Linked DNA regions of Styela clava. The protein of the gene in region 1 purifies or fractionates together with the protein of each later gene. This does not show direct contact. Links are inferred from orthologs where the notes say so. Each region holds a gene or a part of one and is shown in the gene's direction. Other genes may lie near its edges.

What was found. Proteins that work in one complex are often made in the same cells at the same time.
Region 2: the proteins of catenin beta-1-like (region 1) and exportin-1-like purify together in Homo sapiens (affinity purification with mass spectrometry; 3 studies listed by BioGRID, with this or other methods). This does not show direct contact. The link is inferred for Styela clava from reciprocal best matches to the Homo sapiens genes CTNNB1 and XPO1.
Region 3: the proteins of catenin beta-1-like (region 1) and ruvB-like 1 purify together in Homo sapiens (affinity purification with mass spectrometry; 6 studies listed by BioGRID and IntAct, with this or other methods). This does not show direct contact. The link is inferred for Styela clava from reciprocal best matches to the Homo sapiens genes CTNNB1 and RUVBL1.

The regions. Positions count from the first base shown.
Region 1 is NC_135250.1:17,839,011-17,845,884, forward strand, and holds the start of catenin beta-1-like, read left to right. Parts: upstream 1-3,858; 5' UTR 3,859-3,962; coding exon 3,963-4,173; intron 4,174-4,502; coding exon 4,503-4,699; intron 4,700-5,055; coding exon 5,056-5,235; intron 5,236-6,874. UniProt on the Homo sapiens protein: Key downstream component of the canonical Wnt signaling pathway.
Region 2 is NC_135255.1:23,657,015-23,664,174, reverse strand, and holds the start of exportin-1-like, read left to right. Parts: upstream 1-4,154; 5' UTR 4,155-4,416; intron 4,417-6,714; 5' UTR 6,715-6,726; coding exon 6,727-6,870; intron 6,871-7,160. UniProt on the Homo sapiens protein: Mediates the nuclear export of cellular proteins (cargos) bearing a leucine-rich nuclear export signal (NES) and of RNAs.
Region 3 is NC_135256.1:5,659,324-5,666,700, forward strand, and holds the start of ruvB-like 1, read left to right. Parts: upstream 1-4,371; 5' UTR 4,372-4,483; coding exon 4,484-4,624; intron 4,625-6,821; coding exon 6,822-6,950; intron 6,951-7,377. Other genes in the region: uncharacterized protein LOC120328125, read left to right, coding at 684-836, 1,179-1,374. UniProt on the Homo sapiens protein: Possesses single-stranded DNA-stimulated ATPase and ATP-dependent DNA helicase (3' to 5') activity; hexamerization is thought to be critical for ATP hydrolysis and adjacent subunits in the ring-like structure contribute to the ATPase activity.

The DNA.
Region 1 (6,874 bases):
TTGGCTAGTCTTCGAACTGATAATAGGACTAAAATAAGGAAAATTGAAAAAAAATTATCGCCTAACCCTAACCTGTCACCAATGTTACGTTCCGATGTCCGCCATCTTGGTTCGCATACTTCGGGAGCATCGTAGTTTTGGTACTATGCGAGAGAGCACCATTCTGACCGAAATTTTGCCTTTTTTTTGAATATTTGTATCCTTCAATTTATTTTTAAATTGGCTTATTGATTTGAGTCTTTCACTTGTGTTCTGCTTCAGATACGATACCGGTACCTGGCTAGTATGACGTTATCAACGTAGTTTACCAAATATGGAAAATAAATGTGCTGTACTTTCTCCTGCTATAATATCACAGCCTTAGGCTAACATGATAACATTTGACGGTGATAATCAGTCAGGTGGAACCGGTGTTCCTGGGGTAAAATGGTATCTTTGTTCAGAATATTCGCCAAAACCCACCAGACCACTGACTATAAAGCTGCTATATCAACGCATTGAGGACAACCGCGGACAATAATTATTTTTTTTCAAATAAAATTTTTCGCCCTTGGGATTTCGCTTTTATGTATGTGAACACCGGCGAGAAAAGACGACGATGGTTGTCGATCGTATGTATGACACTCACAATGTTATACCTCCATTTCGGAATTGTATATTATATAGCACCATGGTTCGGTGAAGTGTAGGCGTTCACAGGGGTGGTTTCAAATGTATACTTGTACTTTTTGGTTGTATGCTGGATATATGTCGCTTTTGGCGTGTGTGAGAATGAGGGGCGTCTTGCAGTTGGCTATTATACATTTAGCGATAAAAAATTAACGGTGTTAATTGCATCTAATTTCACAGAGTCTGCTACATGCTCTTAAACGACCCGGATCAGTTTTGTTTTAATAAATGGATCAGGTCTCCAGAAAATACATAGATACAAAATTATCGGAATAATCAATAACTATGTCAGGATTTGGGAACCATTATTTTTACGTATAATGTGAAGCTTTACGTATAATGTAGAGTAGCGCTCACACTGCGCTCCCTATTCGGATCACTACTGCCGCGCATAATGTAGATTGTGGACCAGTGTTCTTCAACCTTTTTTATCGAAGTATACCTTTTACAGTTTTTCAAGAACTTTGTATACCTTACAAATACCAATGTTTATTTAAGGCGGCTCAAAATAAACAATAAATTGTAAGCACATATTGTACTGCAATATCATCATGCAATCTAATAGGCTAGCGACCGCAGGTTATAAATTTGACTGACTGCCTTAGCGTCGACGGGAATAATGTTCGACATAAATGAAACAAAGTGCATGGCAGCCGAAATCACCAACCCAGACACATGATCGTATTATCTATATAATTTGTGATGTAACAACGTGCTCACGTCGGTTCTTAGCGTTATAACATTTTATATTTCGTGTGCGGTTCCATTATTGTCTCCGATTGAATATTTTATAATTTATTATATATATTAGAGTTTAGATTTTCTGATTTAGGCTGTACACCTTTCGTATACCCGTGTCGCTCATCGGGCTTTAGGTGTATACGGTGTCAGGCTTTTCGTCTGTTTTCAGTGTGTATCTGTTTTACAGTAATTATTTTGTGGCACCTGGCCAACGTATATTCTATGTTATACGATTTGATAAGGCTTTGTTTTCCCTAAGCTAGCGATTTACTAACCCTTCTACGCATCCACAAGGTAGTATTAACTGTAACGACATCGCTTTAGCTCAGTTTGTTTGTGATCTGCGCGCTTGCATGCGTTTTCTGTTGAATATTCCTATTGCATGTTGCTCTGGCCCTCAGCAATACCATTGAGTCGGTTTATGACTTTAAATGTCTAATCCGCTGTAATCAGCTTAAAAGCTTCTAACCCCAGGCGCGGACTTGATTTATTTCGTGTTATCGATTTGCATTTAATAAGTCACTAATCGTAATCAAATCCGCCACTGGAAATGTCCGCGTTTTATTGATAACATACATGCATTTCGTGGGAATGGATTATGTTTACGAAACAGCACTTGTGTCAATCGTGTTCTGATTGACATGTAAACTAGATTTGTACTCACGCGCCAAAAGGACATAAATTCTGAGCGTTTCTGTTAAACATAAGGATAGACAGAAAGAGGTCGGGCAATAGCCTCACATAAGACGCAGAATCAGAGAAAATTAGTCGTGATGCAACAACGGGATAGTATCGGATAGAAAATGCCGAAAATGTAGGATTTCCTGCAAGATGTCTTCTATTATTGTAGGGAAGGAGAAGAACATCGTGCAATGAACTACAAGCGAACTTACGTCTGAAACAATTACAGTAATGTCAAAACAAACTGCGTGGCTGTTTCACGCACACTCGCGGAATACACACTGGGAGTTACATCCAAAGGCTGCAGCCAGCGGTAAGTACGTGCTGAGCGGATGCGGATTATACTGGTCTGTCTACAATGAAGCTATTGTTCTAATTGAAAACATTCCGTATTTAACATTTTCCTGTCGTTGTATACGAGCACAAATCAAAGCGGATATCGATACCGACAGAAGACTATATCATCGTGGATAGAAATATGTTTGCTATGAAAACGCAGGATTATATAAATCAAATTGATTCCAGCGTTACATCAATTTAAAAATGCGTTAAATATTCGCTTGAATTGAACGACAGTTGTAAATTGATTAGTGCGTTTTGATTAGAGTACAGTATTGCATATTTTGATAAATAAATATTGACATCATTGGGTTATCAATTTCACGGCTAATTTTACCGTTTCCCGTAGGAAACAGCAGCGATCGTCTTTTCAAGCTTACGATTTTTTATTGTATTGTCGCGTGAGTGTTCGGGAGGCCTAGTCACGCGTGTCAGTTTTTTCTGTGGCGAGTCAGTGGTTTTGTTTGGATACGTCATAATTTCAAGCTGCACTTGTGCGCCGTGGATGACTAATGATTGTCGCCCACAAACTTTTTCTCCCGACTCCGTTTCGCCTTTTTCTCGTCTGGTTGACGCCATTTTGAAAAGCACTCGTACGTTTCGACTGCGGTAGCGCAAGTGTCATAATGGATGTGCTCTTTCTTGGCGCTATGGGTTTTTGTATATATCTGAATATGTATGCGATGTATTATCGTAAAGGAACGGAATTAAGTAGTTTAGTTTCATTTAAGGTACAGTATCGTCGTACATTCTTGTCGAAAATTCGATTTCATTATGTACATAAAATGAAACGAACTATTTCGCGTGTGTGTGCGAACGCGTCACTCCGCCCACTCGAGTACGAGTCTACGAAATTGTCGCCAGCCCGAAAAGTGGTCAGGGAAAATTGATTGTACCGTACTTAGCTTTTGTCGAACTGCCGGGCCGAAGTTACAGCTATATACTGAATATATCAGTTAGATAGTGTAGTATTACTGTATTATTTAGAAACTTCCTTATACAGTTATAGTACGGCACCAAGCCCACCATCGCGCTGCCAAAAAATAATGTATCATGGTTTGGTCAAGTTAAAAATTTGTAGATTTTGGTTAATTTATATACGATGCTTAGTTGATATACAGGTATTCAGAAAAAACAGTGTTATGATTAACTAGCTCTCCCGATTCCATAATCAATTTTTATTTATTCGTTTTTAACAGTCATTTTATTGTTACGCTGATTATGGAGTCAAACTATACTTATACACTTATAACCCAGTCATAAATAATGACTAAATACTGAATTATTGTTTTAAGTTTGAATTTTAACAAGCGTTTCAATTTCAAGTTAAGATTTTAAATACAATTTTATTGGTATTTTTGTTGGGCCTTCTAATCAATCATGTCGGAAATGATGATAGCCCCGGGATATTCCAGTCATAAATAATGACCAAATACTGAATTATTGTTTTTAGTTTGAATTTTAACAAGCATTTTAAGTAAAGATTTTAAATACAATTTTATTGATATTTGTGTTGGGACTTCTAATCAATCATGGCGGAAATGATGATGAGCCCCGGAGATATTCCGATGGCAGATCCCAAAGCTCAAATGAACCAATGGCAGCAAGGTGGATGGGATTCTGGTATCAACTCAGGAGCAACAACTGCCAATCCATCAGTCACTGGAACAGTGGATGACTACACAGACACCGAGCAAGTTTTGCGAGAATGGCAAAGGGAATTAACCATGGAAGAAGCAAATCGTATGTTTATCAGTTTCGTTTTTAGATACAAGTAGAATCATAATGCGATATTTTTATGTAGGTACGGTATCAATAAAGTTTAATCAATTTTATATTTCTTGTCTTCTGGAAATTCCAGCTTTATTCCTGAAAATTTCAAGAAACTGTCTTATGCCTAACAATTTTACACATTTTTGACTATTTTAATGTGATCACATTTTTAAGACCATATGAAAGGCTGAAAATTTTTGTGGTGCCCTTCACAACGAAGGTGGCGGAATTGAAGTATACAGGGGAATGCGCTATTGAGTTATTTCTTATTATTTAGTATATGAAACTTTGATTTGCAGAATTGAGTGACCAATTTGCTCGTACTCGCGCCGACAGAGTTCGAGATGTTCTTTTTCCTGAAACCTCAATGGATGATGGATCCATGCAGCAGATTCCGAGCACACAATTTGATCCCAACAATCCAACTGCTGTTCAAAGATTGGCGGAACCATCTCAAATGCTGAAACATGCTGTTGTTAATATTATCAACTATCAGGTATTAAGATATAAATATTGTATTATACGTCAGTGTACCCATCAAACAAAAAAGTGTTATACAAAGAACTGAAATGCTTTACTTATGTGGCATTCACTACCTCATAATTACACAAGTGAAGGGACAGCCATATTCTATAGTTTCAGTAGATATTTGTAACTCAGTAATATATTGAAACAGTCCTAGTTCATTTAGTGTTATGATTTTCAAAACACAAGAGCCAAAGATGATGAATGTTGCTATAGATTTAAAAATACCCCAAAATTTGTGCGACCAGTAACAATCATCCCCTCTGCACATCAGAATGAATTTTAGATTGTTGCCTATGTCGAAACTAAATATCTTTGTTCCTTTAGGATGATGCTGATCTTGCTACAAAAGCAATTCCAGAGCTAACCACTCTACTCAATGATGAAGATCAGGTTGTCGTGCAACAAGCTGCACAGATGGTTCATATGCTTTCTAAGAAAGTTGCAAGCCGTCAGGCTATCATGAATAACCCTGGAATGATTGCTGCGCTTGTGAGAGCAATGCAGGTAAGGCTATTGTTGATGGAGACATCTTTCCATGAGAGGCATTTTCACAGATGAGAATCTAGTGTCACTGTGGATGGTCACTGTGGATGCCTATTAGGGCTGGGCAAAATATTCGAATAGCGAATAGAATATTAAATTATTTGAATGGCATTTTACTATTCAAATATCGGGTACCACGTGATCTGTGTCGCTTCACTCGGATACAGAACGTCTCTGAACCGAACGTGAATTGCTCGAGAATTCACCTACAATGCTCGCTAACAGACAAAAGCGACAAATTTGAAAAATTGTCTTTGCGTTGTGGTGTTATTTGTTTTCTTTGCGTTCCAATCGTTCGTTTCAACTGCCTATTTTGCAAAAAAAGATACCGACACCGTTCCCTAAATTTAGAAACGACAAATCAGATGAGGTATTTAAAATAAATATCCCAGATTTTAAACTCCGTATGGTTGGCGGCACGTGAACCAAACATAAATTTGTTTAACGAAAATTAAAATTTGAAATAACCTTTGCATGAAACCATACATAGTATAACACGCACAAGCTATGACCAGAAAAGAAATGGCAGAACATAGTTCTTTTAATGTACTTTCAATTAATTCTTTGGTGATCCCTTTCATTCTTGACCAAGTGATGTTTCGAAAATGTAATCGTTTCACTCGGTCATGCATGGCGGGTGGAGTGTAAAAATCATAACGTAAAATCAGTCGTGAATTTCGATGTAACAACGCGCACTGTTTACGAATTGTTGTATCATCGGAAATGATTACATTCGTTATATTTTGAGCATTTTTGCACTAAAATTGTGAATTACTCTGTAACGATGGATCGCGGGGTTTCTTGAAAGAAAACGTCGGAACTTGAAAGATTTAGTTATATTTAGCGCCTGGCAATCTATTAGGCACAAAAGAGCAATTTTTTTCATTCAGCATCGGGTCGCATATGTAAATTATTATTCAAGAAGCGCTGTTTATTAACGTCAACTCTTCATAGGGCTACGCAGAAATGCCTTTATTGCCGAATTATTTAGTCACCACTCACCATTTTAAATCAACATTCGAGATTGACGCAATCGCAGCTTTGCGAGGTTTATCTGTAAAGTAACATAGACACCATAGAAAAGCATAGCAAAGTTAATTTTGGTATTGTCTTAATAAATATCTGCATCCCGGTATCAATAGTAATATTACCGTTCGCTTGATATTGTGACGGTAAATTTACAAACGTTGATAAGTAATATGAAAGCCAACGCAAATGATGAAAATTAGAATAATATTAATTTGGGTTTGAAATCAATCCTTAATGGTTTTAACAGCTGTTACCGACGTGAACGCACGGGTGAACCGGAAATATAAACTTGTCCGACGACCCGAAAGAATTAATACTTGCAAAAAACAGAAAGGGCGGTAATGCCGGTAATATAGATTATATATCGCCGCAAAAACGGTCACTGTGACAAAAACGATCAGCGATTATGACGAAATCAACCAGTAAAAAAACGCTTTGTAGCCGATTTTTCAATGTCTTATTAATTTCCAAAGGAAGTATCGACCGACGTTCTGGACCTTCCATTGTGCATAAAAATATTCGTTATTCGACTATTCGATATTCGTTAAAAATATTCGAATTATTCCATTCG
Region 2 (7,160 bases), on another chromosome or scaffold:
GGCCATATTTTCAGGTACAAATACTACGGGAGTCACTTGGCTAGTCACCGAACTCGTAACAGAACTAAATATAGAAAAATTGGAACAAAATTATTGCATAAACCTAACCTGGTAAACATACTTCGGGAGTACCAAAATCTCTCCTACACGTTTTAAATGAATAATACGAATTCTAAAACTTGTGAGAGAGAAAAGGGTTCAATGACCTGAATAATCTAGGTTAAATATGAACGTGTTTTTCACAAGTAAATGGATATCGGTTTTTATATTTTGTATATATATTTGAAAATCTGGTAATTCTCTACTTTGCAATCTTGTTTTTGATATATGAAAATAAAGGACATCCCCAAAAAATAAGCCCTAGTGTTATTTTTCGAAGAAAATTGAAATAAGTAACTGTATTATTTTGGGGATTTTTCTTGAGTTGAAAATCAGTGGAAAATCGGCTCCCTTCGTTAAAAAAATGTATTAATATCGAATAAAAGAATCTTTACAATTGTCGTACTGCATAACCGGTGCGGTGGCGAGCGTATTTCTAGCGCTTGGCACAATGCACCATACCGCCGAGAAGGCTTACCATACATATCGGTATAGTCGGGGCAATCCCGATTTTAGCTATAGTTGTTGCGCCGTCCCGGCCGATAGACCTCAATGACCGGTTATGCAGTATGAAAGTATGCCTTTTTTATTTGATATTCATACAAAATTGTTTTTTACCGGACGCAGGTGAACTCCTACTGGTTTACAACTCACCTTACTAGTTCAGATTGTTATGTCATAGTTATGTTATGAAGTACCATGTACCATGCGTTAATTCAACACCCAACTGTACTGTCGTTGAATCATCAAAATGCAAAAAAACAAAGTGCAAGTTTTCTGATAAATTAAAGAGCGATTTCCATTATTTGAAGCAAAGACCAATAGAGGACATTTTAGTATGGTTTACAGCTAATTTTGATTCACAATTATTACTAAGCTAAGGGATCGAACCAAGATCGGCTTGTCCTATCCGCACAGTCTCGTTTTTTGCGTCAGACATACTGTAAGCCTACCTATAGAACATTTCGCGGTTGCATCTAACAAGCGTATATATATACAATTAGAGCTGGGCATTTCGAATCTGACAGTGAATTATGCGTATCTGTTCGCATACATAAATTTTTGTGACCGTACATTTGAACACATGTGTATATCCCCGGGTTCAATCTATATGCGGGTGCTAAAACCCATGGGTTAGGGTTAGTATGGGTTCAAATATCCGCAAAACAAAAAAAAAATTTATAGGTGCAATAGTATGCAGGTGCAATTGTCGTGGGTTCAAATATAATGGAACCATAAATTTTGAATCGCCGCCATCTTGTTTATTTTGTGCGAAGTCAAGGTGTATCCTTCAATTTTTTAAAAGCAATTCTGACATTTGATTATTTCTGTCTTCCAAGTGAGTTATTGATGGAATAAGTTTCCTATTGTGATGCGAAAGCGAAGCGAACTGTTCAAATGATATTAATGTACCTGGAGTACTAAAGCACCGGTCGGCACCCTACGGCCCGCGGTCCTGATTCGGCTCGCGACATTTCCGTGAATTATGGCGACAAAACGACGGTTTAGGGGTGGGCAAGGTTATTGTACCGCGGGCCACCTAGACTGGCGGGCCATTAGGTGTAACGTGGAAGGTTACATTTTGTGAACAATATTTACAGTGTCACAAAAGAAAAATTGGGGAACAATAAGCCTCGTGCTTAAACTGAATTTAATCGCAATCTCAACAAAATCCTTGAGCTAATTTTTATCTGAGACACCAAAATTTGGTTTTACTTTGGTTGTGGCAGCATCGGGCGGGCCAAATCAATGTCCCCAACGGGTTGGATTTGGCCCGAGTGCCGTTGTTTGCCCAGGCCTGGTTTAGACGATGAATTAATTTTACGATCTACGTTTGGGTAGTTCAGTATTATCTTTGCGTAACAAAATTTATAGTAAGATATGTTTAGATTAAATTATATTATAATCTAACAATTTAGTGAACACTCGTTTAATGAGCCTCAATTTAATTGTAATCAGAAAAATGGCAAACAACGCAGAAAAGTTGATGCTGAGTGCAAAGGTTTCAAAGGCGCAGAACACTTGGGCAAAAAGGAATAGAACATTATACGTCACTATGAAACGAAGCATTTTAAAATCGGCTTAGAAAAACAATAGAAAGGAGGATAGATGGCCAAAGACGTGAAGATAGGAGTAAACAATTCAAAGTAGGTCTAACAAAACAAAGCTCTTTCTTCCTAAAACAATTTACAACGAAAACGAACAGAATACTGTTGCCAGTTTCGAAAAGTTTTTGAATTTGCTTAACACTTCGTAAAAAAGTAATTGATGACTGCAGTCGGTATTGTAGGCCCTAAAAAAAGTAAATTTATTCTCCTATATCAGCCTTTCTGCTAGAAACTTGACTCGGCTAATAGAAGAAATGTTAAAGGATGTGAAACGCGGTCAAAAGCATGCTGACGTCATTTTCCGTCTTAAAAACGAATTCAGGCTGTTTAGTATTCCGTTTGATGCCAACGTGGATACGGTTGCAGAAAACATTCGGATGGAACTTCTTAAGATGCAATGGAATGAGGAAATGAAATCCATTTTCTATTCGAGAGATGTGTGTTGCAACATGCCGCCTGATGTCAAAAAGCTATCAAGAGTGATGCAACAACACGTGTCACGTATTAGATGTCATTTGTAATTTTATGTCTCTTAGTAAGACGACTGAGTTGAGTTCACGAGTTTTCACGCGCTGTTTAAAATCTAGAATTCCAACTTCTGATCGGTGTGAAAAAAATGTGATTCATCGGTCATCCATTTAGTTCTTAACTTATTAACCCATGTATCACAGTGAAAATACCACATACGATTATATCTTCAAAATATTTCGAATTTGATTTGAAAATTTTTAGATTAGATTTTTAAATCATCAAGTACGCGATATTGCCCAGTCCTGTGACCTACGATAAGGATACTTTCAGACCATTGCCGCAAAGACGTTTTCCTGTGGTTTTACAAAATTTTAGAGGTGCAAAACTTCCTAAAAGGTAATAAAAAATTACTGTAGAGCGTAAATTTAAAAAAAGCAATGCGAAAATATATTTATACGAAATCCAAAATAAAGTACGGTTCCGTTTTGTACAGTTCCGACCCGCATCAATTAATCTCCGAGTCTCGCGTAGCGTCGCGTCAAATCGGAATCTCGCCGCCGCGTTTGGCGGATTAAAACATGAAAATATAAGAATATGGCGACATTTTGGATGAAATATCAGATCTCATTGAAAATTTAGGAATAAAAGTAATAACATTCTAGCAAAAAATACAATCTTCAACCATTGAAAATTTCAAAGCAATGGTCCATTAGTATATGAGAAAAACGATTTTTTTGTAACAACATGAAAAAAAATACCAACAAAATCAACATAACAGCAAAACGATCCACCACCACGTGTCCAACAATTTCAATTGTCGTGTCGAATCGTTCGTTACAAACGCGTTTATATACGCGGAGCATCAGCCTACCTGTGTACAAGGCGTGCCCAACAGTTGCTGAAGTCGGCGAAGACCTAGGGCTAGAACAAATAGTATCGATACGTTTTAATTTTTCTTCCTATTTAAAGTTTAGCCTTAATTCATTTAGAATTGTAAATGTGTCACAATTGGCAACCTCAGGCATAATTCAAAGTAAGGTCTTGAACATATATCCCGTCTCTGTTATACCGTTTAATTATTATGCAGATACTGTTACATTTTTAGGCAAATAAACATACATTTTCGTACCGGTAATCCGTACAACAGTACCGAAACGGTGCCCGCAATCGAACAGCCCACTTCAGGTCGCACGGATAAGTGAATTCCGGATTCAAAAATGGCGGGTTCAAAATTTCTAGACAGAATCAGTCTTGCGGAACCATTTTTAAACTGATTAAATCTTTATACTTCAGTATGATATAGCTAACGTTATGTGAAATTATATTTTGTTTTGAAGTTTGCCTATTCTTTGTTTACTGCTGGACGAAAGAGAGCTAAATAACTGAACGAAAAAACGCGATGACGTCATAAATCCAGCGCGATGAAAAACGAAAAAGTGCGAACGCATTGCGAAAACCAGATCAAACCGGTTGCAGCTTCGACTCGCTTCTTCTGTAAATTGCTTTTCGAATATCATTTCATGAAATTGACTGTTCGCAGGGAGGAGTTACTTGTCGTAAAAGAAATTTTAAAGCAGTTACTTTACAAAGCTTATATTGAAGAAGGCATAACTTGAATAAGTCGTCAAGAAGAAAGCGTAGACTAGTAGAATACTAAATACGTATTTAACAGAAATTTGAAACGAATCTAACCTTCAAAACGGCGGCTACAGCGATATCCGTTTCGGATTTGCAATCTGTGAGTATATTATAATCTATTTACGAAATTTTTGTAACAAAATTCAGTCAGAAACTAGTAAAATTGTGTTTTTCTTCCAAAATTCTGGCACATCTGTACCGTGTACCGTACGTTCAAATGGAAAATTACATAAAGATGTAGTAATGTTTCGCGGGGTTTCCCCATGATGTGTTTACAATTTCATTTTTTCTGGTTATAGGCCTATCCTCGATTGGCAATTTTTATTTTCGTGGGGAGGACATAATATAAGAAATTAAAATCGTATGTGATAAGTCGGGGAAACACCCAACTTCGAATGAAAATAGAAACGCTCGCTTTTGAATGCCCGTGACGTCATGGAAATTTTCTCACGGTTCCCACGATGAGTGGAAAACTACACGATGGTGTGTGTGCGCGCGTGAGATTGGTTTGTTTAATAACACGCGCGACGCGCTCGAGGTGGATTCACGCGCAGATGACTTTTCCGTGTTGCGAACCAGTGCTGGCCGGTTCGATCAAATTTTGGACGGTTTGGGGGTGATTTTACCGTCTTTTTGTTTTGTTAAAGAATTTTAATTATGTGAAACAACATATTGAAACGATATATCGCAATGTTCATAAAATATATATACAAATAAATTCATATTAATCACAGATATTGTGACCACTTGTTCACAGGGTATTTTTCATACAGGAATTTTCCATTTAACCTAATGGAAATGATTTTTGTAGGTGTTGTTTATAGTAGAAACGCCCAAAAGACTTATTGCATGATTAAAATGAGCCAACTGAATTTAAAAGACTAATACAGGAACCTCAAGGGTGGAGGAAAGGCTATGGATCCTTGTTAATAAGACACTGGCCATGTTACTGTTACAAGGCTATCATACTCCCGTAGTGGTTCCATTACATTTGAACCCACGTACATTTGAACCCATGACAATTTCACCTGTATGCTATTGCATCTATGGAATTTTTTTTTTTCACGGATAGTTAAACCCATACTAACCCTAACCCATGGATTTTAGCACCCGTATATAGATTGAACCCATGGATATACGCATGGGTTCAAATGTACGGTCACCTCCCGTAGTATGTACCATGTCAGCATCTTGGGTTTAGGCCACAATTTTATTCTGATTTTTCTCACTTCAGTTCTATTACGAGTTCGGTGACTGCCTGTGTTAGCCAAGTAAATATCCCCCTACCTATAGGTTTCAGTCCCTTGATGTAAAGTATGCGAACAAAATTTGTTGCGTATATACTGGTACGCATACTTCTGGAGCGTAGTGTTGGGTATATGGCTGTATCCTGCTGCGCTTCTTCTCTAGAGTAAAACAACGTGTACACTTTTTTCTCAAATTTACAATTTATTTTTATTGATTGAAAAAATTAAATTGACATTCACTCTGCCCTACTATGTCAACTATGCTTTAAAATCAAATTTATTGGTTGTTATATACCATAAATTGGTAATGAGAGCCATATTATGTCATATGATCAAACCAGATTATTGTTTTTAACTGGATAACTATTCCCACACCCAATATGGACTGGTAACTGGCCTTGGTTTGCCATATTATGGTTAAGCCATCTTATCAACTTTCCCCTATTTTTTGAGATGTTTGATCCTTTCGCGAACTACAAACTCATACCGATACAGTTTAGTTTTGGTTATAGTTAACAGGTTATTGTTGTAAAAATATTGGCGCTACGTAGTATGTGCACCAAGATGGCGGATACCATAATGTGGTATGTATACCAGGTTAAGGTTCGGCCATAATTGTATTCCAATTTTTCTTATTTTAGTTCTATTACTAGTTCGGAACGAGCCAAGTGACTCCCGTAGTATTTGTACCTGTACTTAAGGCCTTACCTGGTACACATACTTCGTTCCGGTGTCCGCCATCTTGGTTCACATACTACGGTGGTACCCAAAATATCTGCTGTAAGGAGGTCCATGCATCTCAACGAATAGCTAATTCCGTACCCAACATGGACTGGTAACTGAATGAAAGACCATGGTTTGCCATATGATTGAGCCATGTTATCATTATCAATCATTTTATTCTGGTTCTTTAACATAAATGACACAAAAAGTAAGCAGACAAACAAAATGCAAGGATACCTGGGAGGCGAGCATAAGTTAAAATAAGTTAGAGCATAAGTTTAAAAGCATATAACTTGATACAAGGCTCTGCCACGCCAAAAAATTATCATCTTTTCCCTTTTGAAATAAATATGAAAATCCTATCATGTCATGGTGTGACAGTATTAATGAATTAATCAGTTAAAATTTTGAAATATTTCTTTTTCCAGGCATCCAACAAAATGACGCCACCAATCAATACTAATTCCATGGGAACGGTATTAACTCAGCAAGTCGGCCAGCAGTTGCTGGACTTCTCACAGAAATTGGATATTCAACTCCTTGATAATGTCGTAGGATGTATGTACGACGGATCTGGACAACCGGTAAGATGTTTTTCAAATTGAATTATTATTTTTGAAGTCTGTATAAAAAGTTTATTCGATTCAGTCTGTTCAAGATCAGTGGTTCTCTATCCGCGGGCCAATTACGGCACGCGCAACGATTTAATATGGCCCGTCGAACTTATTTGAAAAAATTAAACACTTCATATTTATCATCTTTTTACGTTCTAGATACCAATTTTTACGCCGTTATCACAGTTTAAGCACGTGTATATTTGCGACAACTCAATTATAATGATATTTTATTATACGGTTCTGATATGGGCCCTTTG
Region 3 (7,377 bases), on another chromosome or scaffold:
AGATGAATATGTGAATCGGGACAGTAGAGTCAAAGACAAGTTTCATCCAATTCCGACTTCAAGCCATTCAAAAAATGAGTCCCAGATAAGTGTTATCAAGAATTTTTTCTTCAACCCGGGTTCAGTTAAATCAATTCCGACACAAGCTCTAGTCAAACCTTCCTTCCTAGTGTCTATTGAAATTTCAAAGTGAGCTTCTATTCAACTACATAAAGCATTCAGGCCCACAATATCTATTCGATAATTATGGAAATCAAAGTTGATTGTGGAAATGGAACTGCTTAAAAAAAATTCATTTGCGGCATAAAATATTCAGATTGTAAGCAATGCCTCACGTCTCTGACATTCTGCAATCTAAGTCTAATCTTCGCTTTCGTTGAAGGTTTAAAAACGTTATTTTTCTAGAGATAGGAAGACCCTGCGAAGTTCCGGGACTGTATGTGTGAGCCAATAGAATATACCCCCTCACCTGTCCATAGGCTTCAGTCCCTTTACACAACTTGATGTAAAGTAGGCGAACAAAATTAGTTATATCCATATTGGTAAACATACTTCTGGAGTGCCAATAAAATTATTCATAGAGTCTTGTAGATAGAGATGCAGTCTTGTACTTTCAACATATTTAGAATCATGTTGTTCAACCAAACTGTAATAATATTGATAACTAATCATTGTTATTTCAGAAAGATAGTACTAGCCGGCCGAGGCAACAGACTTGATAAAATATCTTGGGAAGGGAAGTTACATAATTGCATTTTAAAAAGTTTACACACTGGAGATTTTGATGGAGATGGAACAACTGATGTCCTATGTGTTGCAGTAGATGGTGTCGAAACGTAAGTGGTGTCTTGGATTAAAGATGAAATTCCATTTATTCATTGTGAAATGTTGACCACAGTCCCACGCCTGGTTATTGATCCTGTGGTGGTAGAGAATAGGTCAGTGGCTCCCAACCTTTAGGCTAGGAGAGGATTTACATATTTAGGTTGTGAAACACTGAAATAGATCACAACCCATTTTATACTGGAAGCAGGACGAGATATAATTATGATCACACCTTATTTTGTGTCCTTATGTGTTAAGTTTTTTAAATTCTCCCAACACACAAATGAATGATAATTTTGGAAGAATTGAAAAAGAACATTATTTATGTCTCTCAAATAAAAAACTTTTTTCAGAGACATGATACTCTTCCCAATTCGACGTGGAGAACCCAAAGATCCGGTGATGATCGGCAATCTTTGTGTTGATAGTAATTGGAAAGTTTACGTCGTTGATGCAAACGGAGATGGAAAAGATGATATTTTATGTCGAGATGAAACAGTCGAACCAAAGAAATTTTCAAAGATTCATTTAAATATTTACGAAATCTAATTCGAGTTTTTTAACGTTTTGCTTTTATTTTTCGATGCTGGTATTGAATGTAGATGAATATAATATATACGCAAACAGGTAAAAAATATGTAAGACGTTTGTTTCTATAAATGAGCACCATTCTGATATTCGTCCAGAGGACAGGAAAGCTAACAAGGCGGCTTAGGGTTTACATATTTAATCCGGGCAGGGGGAAAGCCGTTAAGACAACTTAATCATATGGTTAACCACGATGTCAGGTCCGGTTACCAGTCCATAGGATAGGATTTACATATTTATCCCGGGGAGAGGAAAGCCGATAAGACGGCTTATCTATATGACGAACCACGGCCTCTCGTCCGGTTACCATTCCAAGTCGGGTATGGGATTAGTTTTACTGTATTGTTTGTTTTCGGAAGCATGGACTTGGTGGTGGATGAAGCCGTAACCGACCAGCGGTTACGTGAACCACCCAACGACGGCGAGGAGTCCAGCAATCCTCTCGCACATAACCATCCCTGCATGGGATTCGAACCTGTGAACCCACGCAGAGTAATTAGAGGTGCGGTGGCCAGCGTATTCCTAACGCTTAGCCCGTTGAGCCACACCGCCGCGCCAATGTCAGGTATGGAATTAGTTAGCCAGTTATTTTGCTTCCAGATGCATGAACTTGGTGGAGGAATCCGACCAGCGGTTACGTGAACCACCCTATGCCCTCGAGGAGTCCAGCAACCCTCTCCCACATAATTATCACCCACGGGATGCGAACCTACGCAGGGTAATCAGAGGTGCTGTGCCGTGGCAAGCGTACTCCTAACGCTTAGCACATTACGCCTCACCGCCGAGCTTAATAATATTTTCAACCTCTCGTCCTGTTTCCAGCCGATGGCGCGTATAGCGATAGTTCTGTATCCCATCATATATACCAGATGGTGAGATGCATCATATATACAGTTATGCAAAGAAAATGATTGATATAACAAAACATGGTAGCTAATCTTTATGTTGCATTCTTTGATGGTGTTTAGACAGGGGAGTATTGAAATTTTTACCTCAATCAGCGTTCAGTCAGGGATACCGTAGGTTTTTAGATGATCTATTTCAGGGATGGCGAACCTTTTTCAATGAATGGGTCAAAAATTATAATTTTATCGTGGAACAGAAGAGAGTGGGTCACAGATATTTAATTCACGTTTGTATCTATAAGAAACTTCTGAAACAAATCTTATAAGCTGGTGTTGGTGTAGTTTTGGGCTTTACTTATGCAGCACTTCTATCAGGGACTTTTCATGGCACTCGGTTTTATGATATTAGAGTACGAAAACACGAAAACGTTTAGGATGATGCGTTAAATTATTCTACGGTTCTAGTGTTTGGAGGTAATTCCGCTTTGATAGCGTTATAATTTTCGATCAGCTTTCAACCACATTAAGCCACTTTTACACTGCCCCATTGTTTCATCAGATTTCTAGATTTTTATTTCAAGACTGAAAGTTTTTGTTTTCACAACAGCATTGTAGACGAGAAACTAATAAAATGCAAAGTAGCATCTAGTTCTCGTATAACCCCTAAAACAGTCTGCAGATGCAATTCCAAAAAAGACAGGCGTTGCGAGAAATGAACAGATCAATTGCATTGTTATGTCATAAACGATGTCAGGCCCAATAGCTGAATAACGGTACACAGCGGTGCATACATGCGTACAAGATTAGGGGTTTTGAAAATTACCATACCGGCCCAAAAATCAACATTTTGAACTTGAGCGATCGCAGCCCTTCCTGACTGTCCAATTGACGGTACATTATAATAGTTTAGCTATTGTTAGATTAATTTAAGGCCGGTTTTATCAATTTTTATCACTGATATGTTAGCATTTTTTTTAATTTTATTCGTGCCTTCGCTTGGCGGGTCACAAATAAAACGCAGTGGGTCACTTTGTGACCCGCGGGTCAGTGGTTCGCCATCCCTGATCTATTTCAATGCAGATTCGCTAAAATAAAACGAAACACATTTGAAGAATCTGGGAAATGAACAAAACCTTCAAAATAAGTTTAAATGCATTATCTCATTTTATACTAATTAGTCGCTCGTTCAAATCTTCTAAATTCGAAAGATAACAAAAACCTATAATAGAAGAAAAATCAACATTATTGGCATCCGTAGTGGGGTCATTCCAATTGGGAATAAACCGAAATTCTGCTATTGCAGATAACGTTGTTTTGCGAAGCTCTTTTACTACGGAGAAGGCTTTTTACTTTGTTCGTTATTTTCCCATTAATTTACAAAAAAGACTTATTGATTTTCAAAAAAGTTTTTTTATTATTAATATTATTATTGGATACCCCCAATACAATTTCATTATGTTTCAAATTTTAAGGTTCAATCCATACTCAAAGTTTAGCCATAACTATCACCCAAAATTACTGCACAGATTCACAGAAATAAAATAATGGTAACACAGTTTCGACATGCATATCACAAAATGTACACTTTGGACTTGGTGTTTTATTTATTCTATATAACGGCTCATTTGAGCAGAAGTTTTGTTTTGTTTTGCATATCACAAAATGTACACTTTGGACTTGATGTTTTATTTATTCTATATAACGGCTCATTTGAGCAGAAGTTTTAGGTTTTGTTCGCTTTCCCGATTCTATAATCAGTTACTTTTACTTTTGTTTTTATATATTTTTTTATCGTCTATTGCTGATTATGGAGTCGAAATAAACTTATAACTTATAACTTATAAGTGAAGTTGAGATCAGAATGAGGTTACACTATTTCGATTTCCCGTCAAGACACATCAGCGATCACAAAAATACGATAAAACAATAAAGATATCAGGCCAATCAGTTTACAAAGATTTCTGTATTTTAAAATTGTTCATTACGGATAAGAAAAATGTTTAGAAGTTTTTTTAATAATTAGAATTAAATATATTGGTAATGAGAAGACTAGAAATTTCTTCGGTTGCTAATAACGCAATAAATCACGACATGCTTGGCTGGCTTCGTCAACGGGCGCACGCTTGTATTTCTTCAATGCTCACTTTGTAAAGCGTCGTTTCCTTGTTCCGCGTTCTGGCTCTGTCTATAATTCAAGCAAATTTTGATAACATAAATCATATAATATGAAAATTGAGGAGGTTAAGAGTACTACAAAGACACAGCGGATTGCAGCGCATACTCATGTCAAAGGACTGGGATTATCAGATGACGGTAAACCTCTTCAGACAGGATCGGGTCTCGTTGGCCAAGAAGATGCCAGAGAGGTAAAATATTTTTATTCGCACATTGCTAATTATTACTGCAATTCCAACAATATCTTTTCATTTATTTGTTCTGCGATTGCCTGTTATCTAAGTGTTATCTTTACTGTAAATAAGGCTCTGAACAAGTAGCAATTGATGACTTTGGTTACCGTAAAAGCGCCTAACTTCGGACAAAATTACTATATTTTTGTCAATAACTCGGCCATTTATTGTCCAAACGGTGCCAAAATTGCTCGGTAAAACATTCGTGCGGATAATTTACATTCCCTGTAAATTTCGGTTCAATTGGACTATTTTTACTATTAAAATAATCGATATTTCTTGCCATCTGACCGTTATCCTTCACTGCCCTAACTTCGGACAGTCATTTTCTTCACTGCGTAACCGCGATGCACAGAGAGAAAGAGGCTTCCGATGCGGATGGCGAAATCACGTCGTTGCGTGAAGATAAGACGCTCGATCGTCGTCGTAACGTAACATTGACATCACGACGAAAATGCATTATCTGAAACTTCTGTCGTCCTATGTTTACATCTTTCGTTCGTTATTTTCGATACTTCAGATGAGTATAATAACACGATGGTCATTTTAATCAGGAAATGCATACGTAAATATATCTGATGCAAACCGTTTCAATCCCCAATGAAGTATTTCAACGGGCTTCTATCGAAGTCTTTGAAGTATTAATATTCTCGACGGATAGCTTTTTTTTATTCTGCGCGGTTATCTTTATAAATGATAATTTATATCAAACACACGGTAAATCCGATTGTAAAGTTTAATTTGAAATTCAACTTAATCTTGTAAACATGTAGGTCCCGTTTATTTGTTGGAGATTAAATTTATTTTTAATTTCGAGTGAATAAAATTCACCCAGGCCGTATTCAATAACTGTCATTTCGACTACTAATCATAAAATAATGGTTAAGTCAGTGCACTGTACCATATGGACGTTGGAATTATCATAGTTTTATATATTCGATTCCTAACGTCATCGATTAAGTGTGACATGTATTTTCATTAATGTAATTTTGGCATATATTTATACATGACCGAACAAAATACAAAAATATTACATTGGAATGCCGTCTTTATCTTAACGGAAATTGTCATATTGGCTCCGTTGTGTCTGGCGTCAAAATTCATTTCCACGACGCAGTGTGACGTCGTGTCGGAAGTGAGCGAAAAATAATCTACGTGAGGTTGACGTAATTTTGACGCTGCGTGAAATCTTAATATTCTTACGGAATTTATAATTCAGAATTTTAGGTTTTATTTAAATCTCATACGACATCTTGCGATCACTCAAATAAATTATATACATTGTTGTCGCCCTCTACCGAATGATGGTATTTTGACGACGATAGCTTCAGTATGAGCGACGCTCTGCGCCGTTGAATGCCGGGCAGTCAATTTTCGGCAAAATTTCCGTTTTTTCACCAAAAAAATATTTATGCAACATTAAAAAAGATGAGAATAGATGTAGATATAACAGCGCAACCTATAATAATTAAAATTAGCAATATACGGCGCGTTTTAGCCAAGATATGGCCGTTCAAAAATTTTGTCCGAAGTTAGAAACTGTCCGAAGTTAGGCGCTTTTACGGTATATATTGGATCTATGGGTTTATTGAGAAGACTGAAGTTTAGCTATATCACAGTCTCCGTGACCAGGTGGTTCAATGGTTAGCAAGGTTTGCAGTGTCAAAAACTCTCTCTGCTGGTACAGTCGGGCACAGTCTTCCGATTCTGTCCGGACATTTGGTTCAATAAGACAAAACTCAATTTGTCTCTGAAACGAGGACATCTGGCACAACGTCAGATTGCGCCATGCTTATCTCAATCATAAATGAATCGCGAAGTGCCTCGGCCGTCACATCGCAGTATGACCAAAATTGCGTTTTTTGCTAAAAACTCATGAATGCTACGATACAATTTGTTTTCCTTCAGTAAATCACATTATTTTTTTTTCGAGGATTTCAATGGTAACATTTTCAGATTGCACTTCCTTTTAGTTTGTTGCGCAGTGCCTGTTTGTTGATTTTTGCCAATATGGAGGCTCAGGATGGCTTCGCAATCACTGTTATAATTGATGTCGTTCAATCTATTCTTGAAATCATCGAACTGTGTCGTACTGACATATGCTGATACAAAACCATCATTCTGCTATTATATTGTCATACTTGATTTCTTTCAGGCATGCGGCATTGTTGTGGAGTTGATTAGAAGTAAGAAAATGGCTGGACGAGGAATTCTGCTAGCTGGACCGCCTGGAACTGGGAAAACAGCTCTTGCTTTGGCCATCGCACAAGAACTTGGAAACAAGGTTTGTTCTTGCTTTGCAGTAATGTCTTACAAAGGACTAAATTCAAATTGGATATAGTCAGTATCTATCTTATATAAGCAGTTTTAAATTGGAATCCCCGTGTCTGCAGTGTGTTTATGTTACCAAAGTTAGATGCCCGAGCGACACGCATTTGTGTTTTTTATATTTTTTAAGATATTTGTTTGTGTGTGTAATATGGGTATACACATGTGTTTCTACGTGTTTTAATAAACCTTAAATGAGGTTTTGCCAGTTTTCCCGATTTTCTCAATTTAGTGTGTGTTTATTGTGTTGTTTTGCATGGTTTTATGTTCCAGGGAAATCAAAATGAGTATTGTACTTATCTTCTGATCTTACTCCAAGTAATTTATCTTATTTAAACCGGAAGAAAAACTTACAGAATTGCATTTAGAAATCTGTCAAAAAC